Macaca mulatta: one gene and its partner. The protein of the gene in region 2 interacts with the protein of the main gene of each other region in a pairwise test. Links are inferred from orthologs where the notes say so. Each region holds a gene or a part of one and is shown on either strand. Other genes may lie near its edges.

Region 1 (10,477 bases), on a different chromosome or scaffold from region 2:
TAAAAATAAATGACTGATTACATAAGAAATTGTTTACAGAGTTCTGAAATATAGTCCTTAGATTGAGAAGCAAAGTGATAAGGGAATAAGTGTGCATCTGGATTTAGACTAAGTCCCAGTCTCTGGCCATAGAGCTCTTAGCTTTTTCCAGTAAGTTCTTAACCTGTCAATTTGGGTATTTATCTCACAGACTGTTTCCGAGCATTACCAGGTACTGTATACAGATTCACTTTCTGAAGCAGAAACTGCTATAAAAAGCAAGTCAGTGGTTTTAATACTAAGATATAAATGTTCAAAAATTAACAAAGACAAATCTACCTGGACACAAATACACTAATACACTATAATGTATCCAGCAGTCAGCATTGCTTTACCCTTGGAGGAGCCTGTCCTACGCCATCCCCAGAAGTATAAATGCAAACAGAAGTACCAGTTAGGCTCCAACTGTGCTCCTCAGAGCGTGCAGGGCAAGTCAGTGGACAAGGAGCTGTGTGGGCGGGTAGGTGTGGGGATGGGTGGACAGGTGGTCATGGTTGTATTAAAAAACAAAATAAAATGGGATGTTTATGCTTATTCATAGGAAATCTGTTGTTATCTAGTCTTCTTACATATTGGAGTTAATCCCTCATCCCCAGGAGGGTACCAGTTGTGTTAAACTCCAAGTTGAGACCAAGTGAACTCCCATGAACCAGCTTCAGTGAATCTTTTTCAGTTGGAAAGTCATTAAAAAAGGTAGAGGGGAGTGCCCTGCACCTGTTTCTGAAATGATTGCAAGGTTGCTCAATCTCAAACGCCTGCTCTGGTCAGTACAAACTGTATTGATTACATTAACATAATAGTAGATCCACTGGTCAAAAATGAATCCTTTATTCCAAGGGATTTGGTCACTGCTTGCCAAAAAATCTCCATAGATTTAACTTTTTGAAAACTCAATTCAGGCTTGCCAGTTTGTATTCACAGATTGCAAAGGCAGATATCTGATCCAAGATTACAATATGTATGTCTTAGGATTTGTTGCCTATTTTTCATCACCCTGAAAAAACATATTTTGCATCATTACATGGGAATATTGAAAGTTGTTCATTCCTAATAATACTTATTAAAATAACGCAATAATAATCATTGTTAGGTCTCTTTATACTACGGCTGTCATTGAATAAGAATCTACTCTGCACTAGAGCTTTACATCCTACATGTTGTTTGAAAATTACCACAGTCTTGGGAGGTAGGTTATTATTATGTCTGCTGAACAGAAGAAAATCCAGAGGCTCAGATATCTGGGAACATCTAGAGTAGGGAGGATGTGCTTGGCCAGATGCAAGTTCATTTTCACGGTAAAGGTTAGGGAAGGAATGAAGAAATGCTCATGCTTTTTCCTTTTTAAGTGGCACTTGAATATTCCCAAACAGTCAATTTTCTAATCACAAAGTTTTCAATAGTTAATTAATTTGTATACTATTGATACATAAAGCAAATTATTCCAACTCAGTTTATCAAGAGTATGTTTATGTATGCACATATATGGGTGAGTTTAATCTGCAGAAATCCAGTGAAGCAGGAGGAGAAATAGAAGGGAGACAAGAGAAGGAGAGGTAGACAGGAGGATGGCAACAGCGGAAAGTTCTCTTTATATGGCATAAAGCCCCGTGACTTCATTGGTAAGGCAAATGTCTACTATTAACATGACATACTTTGCTAGACACATAGCAGAGAGGATGGTAGGAAAGCATCATAGATAAGTTCAGTGCTGCTTCCCTTCTTCAGCTGTTCTCAATCTAAAGGACTAAATAGAAGTATACATGGCACAGAAACACTGCAGCATTTTAGATTAGAGCTAATTGGATAAAAATAAAATTCCCAAATTTCAGTCAGTGTGATGAAGTTGCTTTCAAATGAAGATTTAATAGCCCAGGCATTCTTTACTGATAGAACTCAAAATGAGTAGAAATACTGATAGTCAGTAGCCTGTTACATTGCAATTTTTAACAAAATGCTGGATGGAATGATACTTCTTCGTTTATCTTTCCTACTCTCCTTCCCTCTCCAGCCAAGTGTGCACTCAAGTCTTAAAGAGCACTTGAGAAGCTCCTAGAAAATAGGATGAATGGTGCATGGCAAGATCATTGTGTAAAATATGCTGACTGATTAAAGACAGATTTAATTTGCTATACTTCTTTTTATCAAAAGACACTTTGAGAAAGCAAAAATGGAAGAGGGACATTATTTAATATGGGCTCTATACAGCACCTGAGAGTACAAAACATTTTTTTTGTTTTGTTTTACCCAAGCAAAGCCTACTGTTACCATTTAGTGGTGACTGGTTTTTTGACTGCTAATGCTTTAAAAATGAGATTAAATCAGGTCCATGGTCTTTATTACTAGGAAGATATATGCCCCTTGTGAATTCTAGTGGTTTGGCAATCTTAACCTCAGCAGACATAACATTAATGTATTCTGTGTTGCCAAACAGCATGGTTTAAAATGCTGTGAACAGCCTTATTGCTTTGAAATGATACAATCTAATATGAGATTGTAACTCAGTGACTGAATCCATGCACCTATCCTTGTACAGAATACTAAAGACCAAGCCACTGTATATTAATATCTCACAGAGAAGGAATTGTTCTTCAGTTCACTACTGAAAGACAGAACATGTGAACGTGAATGTAGATTGCACGAAGACTGAAACTGCAACGTAACATGAATGCAGTTAATGAAAGGCCATTTTCATTAACAGTGCATAGGCAACTGCCTTTTGTAATAAGGCATCAAATACTAGCCTGCTTCATTCAAATCAGTAGACCTTCTTTCGCCTTGTGGACAACTGATGGGTGGGATTTATGAGGGCAGAAATTCTCTAGTGACTGAAAGTCAAATTGTCCCCTTTCCACTTTATTTGGAGCATTCTGAGAAAGCTGCTTTTGCCAAATCTGCAGCATTTATTCCACTTGTTTCTCCTAATCAATCATAATTAACATTAACATTCAGTTCTCTCTACACTTTATGCTCATCAATCAAATTTCAGACACCCATCACTCCAAGGTTCCAGTTACTTTATAGCCTTGATTTTCATGATCAGGATGTCACCTGGCCTGTCTCCTGAGTAGAGGGGGTGTTCTGCATCTGCACCTCAGTCTATCATTGCTAAAGCAGACCAGGGACACCTCGAGGTAGAGTGACCCACTGTCCTGGTTTTACCTGGCACTCAAGTGGCTTCCCAGGATACAGGACTTTCAAGTGCAAAAATCAGGTCAGTCCAAAGAAAAGCAGAATGGCTAGCCAGTCTACCTTTAGGTAAAATCTGGCTTAACTGACTATGGAAAACTTTGCCTTCATCAGTTTGGGTGGCTTTCACAAAGTATCATGTACTGGGTAGCCTGTAAACAACAGACATTGATTTTTCAAAGTTCTGGAGGCTGGAAACCTAAGATTAGGGTGCCAGCATGACTGGTTTCTGATGAGGGTCCTCTTCTGGGTTGCAGATTACAGATGTCTCATTGCATCCTTACATGGTGAAAGGAGCAGGGGTATTCTGTGGTTCCTTTTATAAGGGCACTAATCACATTCATGAGGACTCCACCCTCATGATCTAATTATCTCTCAAAGTCTCCACCTCCCAATACGATCACATTGGGGGTTAGAATTTCAATATACACATTTTAGGGAGACAAAACATTCAGTCTGCAGAGTTCTTAGTAGAGAAAAGAAGCTACAGAAGAGTAATTTGAAGCTAGATATGGGGATTAACCACATTTCTATGAGATGTAATTCTTCACAGCACCGCCTGACAAAATCACCTCTTTCAGATTGAACTTTCTCAAACCCTCACTAGGAGAGTGCATGAGGGAGTGGTGGTTCTGCCCAATTGTCCTGTTATTGATGAAAATGAGTTATCATTCTGATCTGTCTTCCAAGATGAGACTAGACTAAGTAGGGCCTGGGAAAGAAAGCCTACCACAAATGACTAAACAGCCTATGATTCAATTTTGTTTTTACTGAGAACTAAAGATTACGTTGAAAGCAGCCCTTCAAATCTGCTTACCCATTCATAACTTAAATTTATTTCAAGTTGGATCTGCTTACCTTGCTTTATGGTCAATACAAAAGTTAAAAAAAAAAAAAAAAACACCAGGTTTTGGTGAAATCATTATAGTAACAAGTGAAAAAACTGATTCTTCTCTTTGCAGGTCTAACATTTCAGGGGCCAACAGAAATAATTATGAGCTGCCTTCTAACCAGAAGAGTGGGGCAGAAATAGCAATATCATGGATTCCAGAATGGTCAGTACCATTTTTTCAGGGTCTACATGACTTCAGTGTATCCAGGTGAAAACAAAAACTGTTCATATTATTACTCAGCTATTGAGCCAACATGTTACCAAGTATTAAGAAATTTGGAAGCACTGGAAGCAATTTTTATTTCTCACTTGAGATGTATATGTTGTAGGCCATGCCACTATAATTAAAATAAAATTTACTCTTCTTAAGGCACAACAACGAAAAAATTGACTCTGCAAAAGTTTCGCATTTAATGAAGCTGTAAAGTAGAATTAGAAAATTATTTTTTTCTAATATTTTTCTATTAAGAAGTCCTCCCTTAGATATAAGTAGTAAGTCAACTTGAAAGTTTTGTTTAAAAAAAATCTCATAACATTATGCAGCCAGTTCAGGTCCTATGACTGTTTTCTAAGCTAATTTAAGGAGAAAGGTTCGTCAAAACCATGAGAGAATAAACATGAATCTTTTTTCATCTTTCCTTTTTCTTAAAAGTGTGCATTGTTGGTGAAAATGTAAATTAGACAGCCATTATGAAAAATGGTTATGTAGCTTTCTCAAAAAACTAGAATTAGAATTACCATATGATACACCAATCCCACTTATGGGTATATATCCAAAGGAATTGAAATGAGGGTGTATAAGAGATATCTATACTTCGTGTTAATTGCAGCATTATTCACAAGAGCCAAGATGTGGAATCAATCATGAATGGGTGAATGGGTAAAGAAAATATTTTATATATATATGTGTGTGTGTGTGTGTATGATAATATATATACATACATACAATGGAATACTATTCAGCCTTAAAAAAGAGTAAATCCTGTTATTTGTGATAACATAGATGAACCGACAGGATATTATGCTAAGGGAAACGGGATGCCAGGCACTGAAAGAAAAATACTGCATGATCTCACTTACAGGTAGAATCTATTATAAAAAAGATAGACTCATAGAACTAGAGAGCAGAATGGTTACCAAAGGCTTGGGAAGATGGGGCGTGGTAAGGAATGGAAATATGTTTGTCAAAGGGCACAAGGTTTCAGTTAGAGAGAAGAAATAAGCTTTTAATATCTATTGCACAACGTAGTATACATCAAAATTGCTAAAAGAGTAGACTTAAAATGCTCTCACCACAGAAAAGAGGTAAGTATGTGGTGACAGATATGTTAATTTGCTTGATATAATCACTCCACGATGGATACATACATCAAAACATGACATTGTACTTCATAAAAATATATAATTATTTGTCAATTTAAAATTTAAAACATTTAAAAAATGTACATTATTTCTACAAAAATTATTTTCTTATCCCCAAAAAAGAATAAGAAGAAGAGAGGAAGGAGGAGGAGGAAGAGAAGGAAGAATCCACTTACCTGCTACTGCAACTTTTGCTGTCCGACTGATAATTGAGCCAGAATCTCCTAAAGATGCCTCACATTGGTAAAGTCCCTCATCTGGCTTGTGGTGTCTGGAATGAAGTATGTTTTGTATCAACAGAGACCCATTTGAAAGTTGCTGCTTCCTTTCGTCCATTCCCAAGGCTAGATGGATGCCATCTTTCTTCCACTTGATCACTGGAACTCCTCGGTCAGACTCTGCAGAGCAGTCGAGGAGGACATTTCCTCCCCGCATTGTGACGGCATCAGAAGGTTCTGAGAGGAAGCGCAGTGCTGTGAAAGCTTTAATTTGAAAACCTGGAACAAGAGAGCAAAGGGAAATATGTTCATGTATTCAAATAAATCTCAGGCTTAGATTCCCTTTCTTTTCTTTACAAAGCTTTTCACAAAAGCTGAGGGCTTTGAAAAATGTCCAAAAATAAATAAAAACTAAAATCAAGGATATTATGTTAAATAAGTAAAAAAGTACCCAGTCGAGGTAATGGCAATTAAGAAAACAATTGGTTCCAAAATTTAATACTATGAGAAATTGCAAATTCATATAAATTCTGGCATGCTTATTACCACCTATCAGTCAGTACATGAAAATTTAAGCAGAAAAAAACTAATATTTTCCAAATAAAACTAGATATTTTAAAGTAGCAATAGTTATTAGTGTGGTAGCTAAGATTTGGGGGGAGACTATTTCTATCTCTGCATTCTGATTATGGCATCCATTGAAACTTTTAAAATATCCAATCAGATACAGTGTTCTGTAAGAATAAAAGTCAACTCTGAACAGCATGGGTAAAGTTCTTTAGGACAAAGCTCAGCTGGGTTTTAAAATAGGTAAATCCCACTGGCAGAAGCAAGTCAATAAAGTCACTACCTAAAATCACAAATCCCTGAAGGGTCTTAATTTTCATCCAAATGTTTCTCATGGACTTGGAAATCTAAATAAATATAACAGTTGAAATTTTTTCATAAACATAAATGAACATAAATAATCAACGAGGTAAGAGAAAGTCATTTAAGAATCTTGAGGGGAGGGAGCAAGTATAATTAGTTAAAGTATATTGTTATCGAAGCTGGCAGCATAGCATTTGACAGAATACTCACATGATGAGTCAAAGACCTTGACAAGGTTTCAGGAGGTCATTGGCTCCACCATTTGCTCAGACAGGTGTATGCTTAAATCATTCAAGTCAAATTACTTTCAATTTCATTTTGCACAATCTTAGAGGCTAGAGATTCTACAATGTCCCTTGGTATCTTGTTTTCAATATTTAATCATTTAAAGAGTCTAACTGAATTTTCTTGCTGATGTTTAATCCCATTTTCTTCTGAAACACCTTGTGTGAAAATGCATAAGAGATGGCCATTTTCTTTAAGATCCCTTTATTTGTTTGAAACAGCATTTCATTTCTTAAAAAATACCACCTAAATTATGTTTTAGTCTTCTTTTTTTTTTTTTTTTTTTTTTTTCAGCATAGCAACCTCGACTTCATTAGCTTCCTTAATTTTTCTGTAATGGGAACACTTTTAGTTGTACTTCGTAAAATCATTCCATTCTTCTGTCATTTAAAAGGCAAGCATCTAAATTGCAGGTAATCCATATTCTCATAAGGGATTAGCTCATACTCTTCTGATGGACAGAAACTATTTCTATCTTTGTACACCCTATTTTCCAGTGAAGAGAAGGCAGAACAGCTTCTCACAGTTTCTCCCTGGTTTTATTTGCTTCATTCCTGCATACTCATTTTTTCTAAAACTTATGTTTGAAGTCTGTTATTTTGCCAAATGATGTCTTGTGTCATTCACTGTCATATACTCATTCCTTTCACCTTGGCCACTAACTCAGAAAGCATCTGGAACTTAGTTTGAATTAATATAAATTGTAAAATAATGGTGAGCACATAACTCTACTGTAGATATTGATGAACATCCCAGATGACAGCAGGCTGGTGTCTTTATTTTCAAATAAGCTCCTTCTCCCCACAGATCCTTTTGGCATAGCCAACCCAATTATAGTACATCCTGTTCTTCTAGTGGGAAGTATGTTGAATGGGGTGTCCGGATATCTAGCCTTAGGTCTTGGCTTTGTCACTTCAAAATTCATGACTCAGAAAGGTCTTTTAAGTCCTCAGAAACTCAGTTCCCTCATCTGCAAAAATTAAGAAGTTGAACTAGATGATCTCTAAGTTCAATATCTAGTGTGGAGGCTTTCAAAACAAGATTGGGTGAGAGCATCTGTCAAATGAGCCTTGCTCTAAGCTTGCTGAATCAATGCAGACTGATTTTGCTGAAAATACCTTTCCCATGTCTACATGATCTCTTCCTCTACCAGAAAAGAATCACAAGCTAGCAAACCTGGCCTGAGAAACACTAAAGATGAGACAGCAGAAAGAAGTTCTAATGTCCTTGAATGCCAAGATATTTCACTAGAGTAATACCCACAATTTCCATACAAGTAGCATTAATAAAGAAGAAATAAATTTGAAATTCAAGACCAGGCAACTATATTAGAAAGCATTTATTGCTTTTTTGTTCTTCCTGGGGCCTATATTTTAAACACAACCTCACGTTGAGCACCTTATTTATGTCACAGAACACATAATACATTTAACACAGCTGTTTATGACAGCATGTTAATGAGCATATGTGCCCATTATCACACATAAACAATCCACTTAGTCTGAAACAAGGAGGTTATGACAGTTTTCAGTGCTGTGAGTACATAGATCAACTTTTCTTTAACACAATTACCCTTGCAGTTCACTGGCAATTTGAGCTTTTTGTACTCTTTATAACAATTATATTTTGAATGTATGGCTTTGGGATATAGGCACCTCACTGCTTTAAGTAGCTTGCATTAGTGATTAGTTTTATAGAAGAGATGGATCCCGGTGAATCAAGTTTAATAGAGAAATAGTAGATGTGATTCTATTGGTCTCCTTTTCTAAGTTTCAGTTCATGATAGTGACAGTGGCAGGAGGCAGACAAATTCACAGGCAGACAGGGGTAGGTCGCCAGTGAAACCCAACCTTCAAGCTGAAAACAGCCTAAAGCCTGAAAACTGGGCTGCTGGTTCTGAATGGAGTCTGGGACCAGAGTGAGAACTTCTGTTCCTGTTTGCCTGTTCTTTCCTGATTGGTTCTTTCTGAATAATTCTTTTTTTTTTTTTTTCTTTTTTTGGGGCGTTGGAGTCTGGCTGTCTCCCAGGCTGGAGTGTAGTGATGCAATCTTGGATCACTGCAACCTCTGCCTCAGGTGACTCTCCCGCCTCAGCATCCTGAGTAACTGGGATTACCGGCACATGCCACCAAACCTGGCTAATTTTTGTATTTTTAGTAGAGACGGCCATGTTGGCCATAGTTGGCCAGGCTGGTCTCGGACTCCTGACCTCAGTTATTCTGCCTGCCTCAGCCTCCCGAAGTGCTTGGATTACAGGCATGAGCCAATGGGCCCAGCCTGAATAATGCTTTTTAATCAATCAAATGTTGCCTTTTCCAAGGCTACCTACAGCCTGCACCTCCCCCATTCTGAGCCTATAAAAACTCCAGACTCAGCCACACCTGGGATCGACCCACTGCAGATCACCTCTCTGCTGAGAGATATTCTGTCACTCAATGAAACTTTTCTCCGCCTTGCTCACTCTCCAGTTGTCCACATAAACTCATTCTTCTGGGATGCAGGACAAGAACCTGGGACCCACTGAACAGCAGGTGCAAAAGGAGCTGTAACACTGTAGCCCTCCAGGCCTCCACTGCTGCCTGGAGGGCCATCCAAGACGACAAGAAGCAGCAGTGGGGCCGGGCCAGCCCAAGAGCCGTGGGCCAGAGTGGGGCAGCAGGACTGAATGAGCTGTAACACTAAGGAGCCGAAACACACTCCTGCCCAACCCCTGCCCCGTTCCCTGTGCTGCATATGGCAGGAAGGAGAGAAGAGCTGCAACCCTTCTGGAGGCGAAGACCTTGGGACTTCCTGAGTCAGAGCTCTGACACACCCTTGTTTGCTGGGTTGCGGGAACAAACAAACGGTGACGTGCTGTAACACCCTTTTGGGGCTCTGCGGTTGCTGGCGTCTCTAAGTTTTGTGGGTGTCACCGTGTTCCCCCGGTCCAGACACAAGCATCCTAGGCAGAATTTGCTTGCAGTATGCCTGGTCCAGCTGCCGGCAACTAAAGCTGCCTGCCCCACCGCAGCCGCTGGCGCACCTGACCCTGTGCGGTGGCTGGACTCTGCACTTACTCACTCAGACACCCCTCACCGCTCCATGCCTGGCAAGCCTATAGTGGGAGTGGGATCAGGGGTGGTAGCACCAGCCGAGCACAGCCTGTCAGGCTGAGTGGGCGGAACCAGCTCAGCGGCCAGCTCAGAGCCCAGTGAGGCCCAGGCAGGAGTGCCGCGTGTTGCGGAAGATTTCCTACAGGGGAAGGGGCACGGAAAACTACCCTGTGTCATTAGGCAAGGCTACCTTCAACTTCCTTGTATTTCGCACAGGCCTAAGAAATGTCCCACGAATACATTACATTGACATCAATTTAGGTCCCCCTGAACCCTTTCTCTTAGTGTACTGGTTCCATTTGGAAAGATTTTGCCCAACAGTATATAATTTCTTAATATAAAACAATTTTATAAAATGACTTCATCCAGTAATTAATCTTAAATCAACTACGCTGATTTAATGTATGAAGAGAGGAAGACAGAGATGATAAAACTGAAGAAGACAACAAGTAGAAGTAACTTTGGAGCCTGTGGCTCAAAAAGTTGCAGTCTGGAATTAGGCACTCAGAGTTCAATGAAAGTGTAGACCTCTT
Region 2 (10,455 bases):
AGCAGACAGAAAAGGAGTCATTAGCATACCCCAGGCAGACCCGCGGGAGCCCTGACCTGAACGTCTCTCACCCTCACAGCTGGATAGGCTGGGTCTCAGTTTCCTTATCTGTAAATGGAGATAATAATAGTACCTAGCTGGAGGTACTGCTGTAAGATTAAAGGAATTAAGACATGTAAACCTCTTAGAACAATGCTTAGGGTTTTATGCTTTCATTATTAGAACAGTCTCAGCTGGGCACAGTGGCTCATGCCTGTAATCCCAGCACTTTGAGAAGTCGAAGTGGGTGGGTCACTTGAGCCCAGGAGTTGGAGACTGGCCTGGGCAATATAGCAAGACCCCAACTTTAAAAAAAAAAAAAAAATTAGCCAGTTGCAATGGCTCGTCCAGCCAGCTGGGAGGATCCCTTGCGCCCCAGGAATTTGAGGCTGCATTGAGCTATGATTGCACCACTGCACTCCAGCCTGGGCGACAGAGTGAGACACTGTCTTAAAAAAACGAAAACAAAAAAAAGATAAATAGAACTGACTCCAGGAAACTGAGGTGCAGAGAGGTGAGGTGCCTTGCCCAATATCACACAGCACTTACTAAGTGGCACAGCTGGAGTTTGAGCCCAGGTATGCACGCCTTCTTCCTATTAGGCCACACCTGGCTGAAGACAGGAAGAGACCAGAGGAGGCAAGGAGGCAGTGTGGGTGGGGGCAGGCCCAGCAGGGTCCCCACAGCTATGTGAACTGCTGATCTGGCAGCAGGTGTGAGGAGGCCTGGCAATCTGGGTCAGGCTGGGTGCTGCTGGGCCCCTCCCAAAGCAATCATGGCCCCACCTGCTTCTGCCACACCCAGAGCCGAAGCCTGGGTGACAGGGCCCCTCAGTGACCTCTTGCCTCTTTACCAGTTCCGTTCCCAGAAGGAGATTAGAATGGCTGCTGGGGCTGGAGGATGCAGGGTGTTGACAGGTGGAGACATTTGGGGCTGGAGGACTGGGTGGGCCATGAGTCTGGGCAGCACTTGGGCATTTTTTTTTTTTTGAGATGGAGTCTTGCTCTGTAGTCCAGGCTGGAGTGCAGTGGTGTGATCTCAACTCACTGCAACCTCTGCCTCCTGGGTTCAAGCAATTCTCCTGCCTCAGCCTCCCAAGTAGCTGAGATTACAGGCACACGCCACCACACCTGGCTAATTTTTGTATTCTTAGTAGAGACGGGGTTTCACCATGTTGGCCAGGCTGGTCTCGAACTCTTGACCTCGTGATCCATCACCTTGGCCTCCCAAAGTGCTGGGCTTACAGATGTGAGCCACTGTGCCTGGCCCCCCCTTTTTTTTTTTGAAACAGAGTCTCACTGTTGCCCAGGCTGGCGTATAGTGGTGCAACCTCCGCCTCCCGGGTTCAAGCAATCCTCCCACCACAGCCTCCTGAGTAGCTGGGACTAGAAGCGCATGCCTACACACCCGGCTAATTTTAGTATTTTTAGTAGAGACAGGGTTTCACCACATTGGCCAGGCTGGTCTCGAACCCCTGACTTCAGGTGATACACTCGCCTCAGCCTCCCAAAGTGCTGGGATTACCAGAGTGACCCACTGTGCCTGGCTAATTTTTGTATTTTTAGTATAGATGGGATTTCGCCATGCTGGCCAGGCTGGTCTCAAACTCCTGACCCTCAGGTGATCCACTCATCTCAGTCTCAGTCTCCCAAAGTGCTGGGATTCCAGGCATGAGCCACTGCACCCAGCCCCCGGGCACTTCTGTTGTCACCAGACACACCGAGCATGGGTGCAGGGTAAGCTTGCTGCTATATGGAGGCACATACAAATACAGATATAGATATTGATATAGATACAGATACAGATAGAGATATAGATAGATATAGATACAGGTATTTAGTATCAGCGTATCTGTGTGCCGGCCATGGGGACACTCACCAGGCCCCAGGGTGCAGGGATGTCTGTCTGGGTTAGGGGGCCTCTAGCGCCCCAGGCTGGAAGCGTGCTGTCTCCTGGAAGATGAGCTCCTTCAGCCGCTCCTTAGGTAGGTCATCCAGCTCCATGGCGAAGGTGAAGGGCTCCTCGGCCACTGGCTGGGGTGGCAGAGACAGCAAGGCTCAGGCCTGGCATGGGGGATGCCTACTTACCCCCCTGCCCCTGGCCCTACTGCTGCTGGGGACTGGCCCACCTCATCCGTCGGGTCATAGTACTGCTCCAGGTAGGGGTGAGCCAGCGCTTCCTCCACTGTGATCCGTTTATTGGGGTTAAAGGTTAACATCCGGTCCAGCAGGTCAAGGGCTATAGAAGGGCAGGAGTCAGGGGTCACAGGGAAGACTGGAGAAGCTCCCAGAAGCATCACTTTGCCTGTCTCCTCCAGCTGCTGCTGGGCTCCCGTACCCTCCATGGCACCCAGGGTTTATCCCACACCCGTCCTCATGTCTCTCAAACCTTTGGAGTCTGACTTGGGGAAAAGCTTGGCCCAAGCCACCTTGGTCTTGGAGGGCAGAGACTGTAGGTAGTTTCGGGCCTTCATGTTGATGATACAATTCAGGTCCTCCTGGGATGGGGAGCCCAGGATGCCTGTGGATAAGGAGGTGACTTGGTAAATGATCACCTCCTTCTTTCTGGGAACAGAACAGGCAACAAGGCAAGAACAAGACCCCCAGCCCAGCAACCCATGCCAATCCCTCAGTTACCTCCTAGTCATTAGCAAGGTGGTGCAGAGCAAGGGGGCTGGATTCAGGCAGACCGAGGCTCAAATCCTAGGTCTGGTGCCTCCTTAGGTGTGGGACTTAGACTTGCTTTTCCCATCTATCCAATGGGGATAATATCTATACCTCATTGAGATACCATGAGATGCTGGAGGCGCCCCACACGTGGTGGTATCCCTGACTTGGACTCTTGAGAAATCTCACCTTGGAGAAGGTAATCATCCCCCACTCAGCCAGCCGGGCCTCCCTCACCCAGAATGTGGTTGAGCTGATCCAGGTAGTGCTTGCCAGGGAAGATGGGCCGGTTAGAGAGCATCTCAGCCAGAATGCAGCCCACAGACCAGATGTCGATGGACTTGGTATAGCCCTGGGAGAGAGGAGGAAGTGGTGGGCTCCTGGGCCAGCCTCAACAGGGTCCTGTTTCTACACCAAGCCACCATCTCCAAGTTAGATCCAACACCAGGCAGAAGGCAGAGGCCTGGAGGGCTCAATGCTCAGCTTCCTTGCAGAGCCCAAGGCCCAGAGGGTGGAATTCCTGTGTCATGGGGGTCGGTGTCTGGCTCGGAGGTAGCTCCAGGGCTTCCTGGGACCTGGTCCCTTCCCTTCAGGAGTGGGCAGCCCCTCCTACCTTGGAGTTCAGCATGATCTCTGGGGCCCGGTACCAGCGTGTAGCCACATACTCCGTCAGGAAGCCGGTGTGGTCATGCTCAGGATCGGCAATCCGGGCCAGGCCGAAATCGCAAATCTGGAATCAGACCAAGCTGCTAAGCTCAGTGCTCAAGGCCTCTGCAGCTTAAGCAGTCACGCCCCCTTGTCTTTGCCTCCACTGTTCCCCTTGCTTGCAATGTTCTCCTGCCCAAGGCTTCTACTGGTCACCTGGAAGCCCCAGACCCTGGGGGAAGAGGGGACAGGTGCCCAACCCTCTGACCTTAAGGTCGCAGGTGGTGTTGATGAGCAGGTTGGAGGGCTTTAGATCCCGGTGGAGCACATTAGCGGAGTGGATGTACTTGAGGCCCCGCAGGATCTGGTAGAGGAAGTAGCAGATGTGGTCATTGCTCAGTTGCTGGCTTTTCAGCAACTTGTACAGGTCAGTCTCCATCAGGTCCTGCACAATGTAGCTGAGGATGGTTCCGGAGACCCCCGGGGAGGGGGCAGCGGGAGGCACTTGGTTAAGGAAAACAGGCTCTGAAGGCGAGGCTGCACATCTCCTCCAGCCAGGGCCCCTGGGACTCAATAGATCTGCCAACCTGCACCACCAGCTGGGCAAGCTGCTGCCGTTACCCAGCGGCAGGGCTCTGAGCCTCTGTCGCGTCACAGTTGCTGATCCTGAGCAAGGGGCTTCACTTCTGTGGCCTCAGTTTCCCTACCGGGGAAACAGGGATAATAATAAACTGTGGGAGGCCGGAGAACTTCACAGTTAAGAGCAGCAACTTGGGCCAGGAGTGGTGGGTCATGCCTGTAATCCCAGCACTTTGGGAGGCTGAGGCGGGAGGATCGCTTGAGGCCAGGAGTTTGAGACCACCAGCCTGGGCAACATGGCAAAACTCTGTCTCTACTGGTAATACCAAAATTAACTGGGGACAGTGGCATGTGCCTGTAATCCCAGCTACTCGGGAGGCTGCAACACGAGAATCACTTGAACCCGGGAGACAGATGTAGTGAGCCGAGATCATGTCACTGTACTCCAGCCTGGATGATAGAGTGAGACTCTGTTTCAAAAATAAATAAATAAATTAATTAAAAAAAGAAAACTACAAAAAGAGCAGCAACTCTGGACTTAACCCATGGAAGTCTGAAATCTCCTCTCTACTACTTACTGGCTTTAGGAGCTCAACCTGTCTGTGCCTCAACTTTCTCATCTGGTATGTAGGGGAAATAATGTGTTTTTTGTTTGTTTGTTTTCTTTTTATTTTATTTATTTATTTTTTTGAGACGGAGTCTCGCTCTGTCACCCAGGCTGGAGTGCAGTGGCCGGATCTCAGATCACTGCAAGCTCCGCCTCCCGGGTTCACGCCATTCCCCTGCCTCAGCCTCCCGAGTAGCTGGGACTACAGGCGCCCGCCACCTTGCCCGGCTAAGTTTTTTGTATTTTTAGTAGAGACGGGGTTTCACCGTGTTAGCCAGGATGGTCTCGATCTCCTGACCTTGTGATCCGCCCGTCTCGGCCTCCCAAAGTGCTGGGATTACAGGCTTGAGCCACCGCGCCCGGCCTGTTTGTTTTCTTTTTGTGGAGACGGGCTATTGCTATGTTGCCCAGGCAGGTCTTGAACTCATGGGTTCAAGTGTTCCTTCCACCTCGGCCTCCCAAAGTGCTGGAAATTACAGGTGCGAGCCATGAAATAATGGTTCTTTTGAGGGTGGTTGTGAAGACTAGATGAGATGGCGCATGTAAAACTGTCAGCCCAGTGCTAGGCAAGTTGTGAGTGCTAGGCAAACATGAACTATTATTACTAATATCAATGCCTGAGTCACATGGCTGTTGAGGGAGTTAAATGAGATAATGTATGAACACCATCTGGCATGCAATAAATGTTTGCTTAAAAATAAATGCCTGCCTTATGGGAATGGTTTGCGCAAGAAAAATGAGGAGACACTCCCAATAGCACACTCCCACTCAAAGAAGAGTGCTTGGCCATACCTCAGAAGATGGAGGAGTAAAATGTCTTTTTCTATTTGAAGATAAAACAAAGCTTATGCGTAAATAAATAAATAAATCCACAAATGCCGTTTGGCTTGTCTCTGGAAAAATAAGTCAGGGCTGTCTTTTAGAATCTGCCTTGAGGCCAGGTGCAGTGGCTCACACCTGTAATCCCAGCACTTCAGGAGGCCAAGATGGGTTGAAGACCTGAGGTCAGGGGTTCGAGGCCAGCCTGGCCAACAGGGCAAAACCCTGTCTCTACTGAAAATACAAAAATTATCTGGGCGTGGTGGCGGGCGCCTGTAGTCCCAGCTACTTGGAAGGCTGAGGCAGGAGAATAGCTTGAACCTGGGAGGTGGAGGTTGCCGTGAGCTGAGATCCAGCCACTGCACTCCAGCCTGGGTGACAGAGGGAGACTCCATCTCAAAAAGGAAAAAAAAGAAAATAAGAATCTGCCTTGAAAGGGTCTTCAGAGGATATGTGGACCAGCCCTGCTGTTTTAGAGCTGGGGAGGCCCAGTGAGACGCAGTGACTTGCTTCAGACCACACAGCGAGATGGGGGTGAGCACAGAGATTTCCTGTCCACAGTTTGTGGTGGGGGCTGCAGACACCGCAATACAAATCCCCGCTCTTGGGTGGAGGGCTGGGACTGAGAGTGGGTGGGTGGGGTAGGGAAGAGGTGACAGGTGTCACAAGTTGCTAAGGAGAGCCAGACAGGAAGTGGACAGCAAACTAGGAAAGCAGTATCAGGGGAGGACAACAAAGGCTAGGCTGTCCCTCCCTGGGCAAGGTGCAAGTCCACAGGTGATTAGGGTGTGGCTCTGAGTGAGAAGTCCTAAGAAGGACAAGTTTCCATCTGGGGGAGGGGAGGAGGAGACAGCAACAGAAACACTTGATTTTAGGTTTTCTGGGCCTCAGCTTCTTCATTTTTTTTTTTTTTTTTTTGAGACAGGGTCGCGTTCTGTCCCCCAGGCTGGAGTGCAGTAGCACAATCATAGCTCATTGCAGCCTTGAACTCCTGTGCTCAAGCCATCCTCCTGCCTCAGCATCCCAAGTAGCTGGGACTACAGTCATGCACCACCAAAGCTGGATAATTTTTAAATTTTTTGTAGAGATGGGGTCTCACTATGCTGCCCAGGCTGGTCTTGAACTCCCAGCCTCCACTGATCCTCTGGTCTTGGCCTCTAAAGTGTTGGAACTACAGACGTAAGCCATTGCACTCTGCCCTCATCTTTGAAATGAAGCTGCAAAGCCTATCTCATAGGGTAGTTGGGAGGTGTAATAGAAAAAAAAAAAAAAAGCATTGGGCATGTATAGTACCTGACACGCAGTAGGACCTCAAGAAAGGCAGTTTTTTTGTTTTTGTTTTGTTTTGAGACAGAGTCTCACGCTGTTACCCAGGCTGGAGGGCAGTGGCACGATCTTGGCTCACTGCAACCTCCGCCTCCTGGGTTCAAGCGATTCTCTTGCCTCTGCCTCCCAAGTAGCTGGGATTACAGGCATGCGCCACCACGCCCTGCTAATTTTTTTGTACTTTTAGTAGAGATAGGGTTTAACCATGTTGGCCAGGCTGGTCTCCAACTCCTGGCCTCAGGTAATCTGCCCACCTCAGCCTCCCAAAGTGCTGGGATTACAGGCATAAGCCACCATGCCCAGCTGACAGTTTGCTTTCTCCCTGTCTCCCTTCCAGTCTGGGGAAGGAGGAAAGAGAGGAAAGAACCATCCATTTGTTAGCAAGAAGTGACTGTGGGCAGAAGCTGGGTCATGTCTCAGAACTGCCGATGTCAGAAGACAACACTCCCATAGAGACCATCCTGTCTAGCCCTCCCCCTTGGGGCACAGAGCAGAGAACTGACTTGCTCAAGGCCATATTGCCCGGCTGCAGCAGGCCTGGGTTCATCAGAGGCCTCTAAGTCCTGTTACACTGTGGCTTCTCCTCTGCAGGAAAGTTTATTTTACTGGGTTTGTTTTGGAGGGTGGTGGGTAAGATGGAAACAGAAAGCAAGCAACGGGTCCCCAGCCCAGCTCCGAGGCTGTGTATGACCAGCCGACTGGGCAAGGTGAAGGATACACATCCCTCATGGCTTCCAGGGTGGACGCACGCAGAATGTCTCGGATGCCGATGACATTCTCATGGCGGAAGCGCAGCAGGATCTGGATCTCCCGGAGCGTGCGCTGGCAGTAGGTCTGATGCTCGAAGGGGCTGATCTTCTTGATGGCCACGCGAGTCTTGCGCACGTGGTCATAGGCCGAGCTGAGGGGACCGGAGAGAGGCTGCTGCTGTGGCCTTACAAAGGGGGAGTCCGGGCCTGGTGGCCCCACCCAGGCCTTGGCAGGGAGGGGAGAGAGCAGGAGCTGGCTCTGGTCAAATCATAAACAATGCTGGTTCCTTCCTGCTGTGTAGGGCTGGGATCTCCAGAGAGAAAGCTGGGGACCAGCCAGGCGGCCCTTCGGTGACTTTACAAACAGAGGAAGAGACTGACCGCTCACTGACTTCCCCTCTCCTCAATCCCCTTCCATTCTACTGGCCCTGAACCCTTCGCCCCCATTCCCAGGAAAGGTTCCTTAACCCAAGACAGGTCCGGGGGTGCAGATGCTGGGGGCACACCATGGAGCAAATACTGGGAAAACGGCAGCCAGGGGAGGGGCAGGAGAGAATGGACAGGGCAGGGGCGGGTCCTAGGGTGAGGGAAGCGGGCAGCAGGGCTGTCCCAGAGCTCACGGTGGGGCCGGGGGCACTCACAGACCCCTCCCAAAACATGCAAGTGGCACTCCTGGCCCCCTCATCTCTCTTTGGGCACCTGGTGGTGGTGGTGGTGGGGCCAAAGCCCTGCCCCACCCTGATCTCGGCTCGTCTACCCCAGGCTCCCTGGCACTGCCTCACAGGGGGAATCCAAAACACCCTTTCCCCCAAAACGGGCCCTCCACTGCCTCTTCACTAAGGATGTCGCCTCCCCGAGAGTACTCATCCTCTGGGCCTCGCCCCGTGTCACTAGGGTCCCCGCGGGCCCCCACATGCACTCAGATGCCCCTCCCATCATTACAGAAGGGTGGACTCAAAGCCTCCAAGCCCCCTCCCCTGAGGACGCAGGCAGCGCCCTCTCCCCTAGAAAGCACTCAGGGGTCCCCTCCCTGGGACGCTCCCGATCATCCCGAGTCCCCTGCCTCCTCGGGACGCTCCGCGTCTCCACGTCCCGGAAAGCGCTCGGCGCCTCCCCCTCCTCTCCTGTGAAGCCCCCTCCCCTGAGGGCGCCCCCTCCCCCGGAACGCCCCCTCACCTGACCATGCCGTACGCGCCCTCGCCGATGTACTGCAGCTGCGTGTAGCGCGGGCCCACGTCGAACGGCTGCCCCTTCACCATCTCCACCTCCCCCGGGACCCCCGGGCCGACCCCCTCGGCTCTCCGGGGCTCCCCACCCCCGCCCCCCTGAGCCGCCGCCGCCGCCATCTCCACTCCTCCCCTCCCGCCGCCCTCCTCCCCCCGGCGGCCCCGCCCGAGGCCCCGCCCCTTCCCGCCCGCCTGTCACCCGCAGGGCCGCGCGCTCCAGGCCCCGCCCCTGCCCCGGCCCCGCGCGCCCCCGGCCCCGCGCGGGCCTGGAGCCGTCACGTGACCCACCCCGGGCGCGCGCCCGCCCTTCTCGCCCTAGGTGCGGGAGCCCGGGGGTCTCTGCTGGCTCCGCGGTCACCAAGTCACGGGGAGGCTCGGCAGCGCCGCCTCGGAGACTGTCCTCACCCTCCTCTCGAAGGCGAAGCGGCCAGGGCGTGACCTACCAGAGCCACCCAGCCAATGTGTGCGGCAGCCCACCAGAACCTGGGCCCGAGATCACCCTAGGTTAAAAAAACTGTTCTAATAAATGAATCAAATTTTACAGATGGGGAATCTGAGAGTTGGGCTAACTAACTTGAGTAAGGTCACTAGTAATGACAGAGCTGAGACTCAAAATGATGTCTTCTGACAGAGGCTCTTTTTAATTCCATGCCTCTCAGAATCCTAGACTGTTTTTATTTTATTTTAGAGACAGGGTCTCACTCTGTCGTCCAGGCTGCAGTGCAGTGGTGCAATATTTACTGACTGCATTCTCAACCTCCTTGGGGTCAAGTGATCCTCCTACCTCAGCCTCCCAAAGAGCTGGGACTATGCGTGCGCTCCACCACGCCCTGCTAATTAAAAAAAAAAATTGGGGGACTGGGCACTATGGCTCACGCCTGTAATCTCAGCACTTCTGGAGGCTGAGGAGGGCGGATCACTTGAGGACAGAGTTGGAGACCAGCCTGACCAACATGGTGAAGCCCTGTCACTACTAAAAATACAAAACTTAGCTGGGCATGGTGGTGGGCGCCTGTAATCCCAGCTCTTCAGGAGGCTGAGGCAGGAGAATTGCTTGGTACCCAGGAGGTGGAGGTTGCAGTGAGCCAAGATTGCACCACTGCACTCCGCCTGGGTGACAGAGCGAGACTCCATCTCAAAAAAAGAAAATATAATTTTTTTTTGGTAGATACTGGGTCTTGCGATGTTGTCCAGGCTGGTCTGAAACTACCGACTTCACAGGATCCTCCCACCTCGGCCTCCCAAAGCTCTGGGATCACACCTGTCCATCTCAGACTGTTACAACTGAAGAAAGGGCCCTCGGAGATCATCCAGTCCATCCCCCTCATTTCACAGCAAAGATATGAGCTGGAAGCTTCACAAAAACACACAGCTCCCAACCTTCAGTAAGTAATCATGTAGTGGGTTTTTTTTTTTTTTTTTTTTTTTTTTTCCCTGAGAAGCTGGGAGTAGGTCCTTGGATGCATTACAGATCAAGAGACAAAATGGAACAGTAATTATGATTCTGAAATTGCTCATAATTAGATCCACAGCCAGGCAGTCTCACTCAGATTAATGAGACTGAGTTTCTGATTCCCAGTGGCCCATAGGTCAGTGAAGGTTCAAGAGGTGCTAATTAGATCAATGAGTTTTTTTAGTTATTCATTTGATAAAGCATTGCATGGCACTGTGTGCAAAGCTCTGAGCTAGGTACTGTGGCTGATAAAGGATTACTATATAGTATGAATCTGTATTTAAGAGAAAGAACTCCCCAGAGCCTGATTGCCTGGGATAGAATCTGATATTTGTTCAAGTTTAAT

Evidence for each region. The genes of interacting proteins can lie anywhere in the genome.
Region 1: the proteins of MAPK3 (region 2) and DCC interact in a two-hybrid assay, tested with the Homo sapiens proteins (2 studies listed by BioGRID). The link is inferred for Macaca mulatta from reciprocal best matches to the Homo sapiens genes MAPK3 and DCC.

What each region holds. Positions count from the first base shown.
Region 1 is NC_133423.1:39,506,232-39,516,708, forward strand, and holds part of DCC (netrin receptor DCC), read right to left. Parts: intron 5,977-10,477; coding exon 5,656-5,976; intron 1-5,655. UniProt on the Homo sapiens protein: Receptor for netrin required for axon guidance. Mediates axon attraction of neuronal growth cones in the developing nervous system upon ligand binding. Its association with UNC5 proteins may trigger signaling for axon repulsion.
Region 2 is NC_133425.1:28,436,696-28,447,150, reverse strand, and holds the start of MAPK3 (mitogen-activated protein kinase 3), read right to left. Parts: upstream 8,846-10,455; 5' UTR 8,777-8,845; coding exon 8,607-8,776; intron 7,583-8,606; coding exon 7,400-7,582; intron 3,809-7,399; coding exon 3,619-3,808; intron 3,436-3,618; coding exon 3,319-3,435; intron 3,058-3,318; coding exon 2,943-3,057; intron 2,560-2,942; coding exon 2,428-2,559; intron 2,278-2,427; coding exon 2,168-2,277; intron 2,073-2,167; coding exon 1,950-2,072; 3' UTR 1,918-1,949; intron 1-1,917.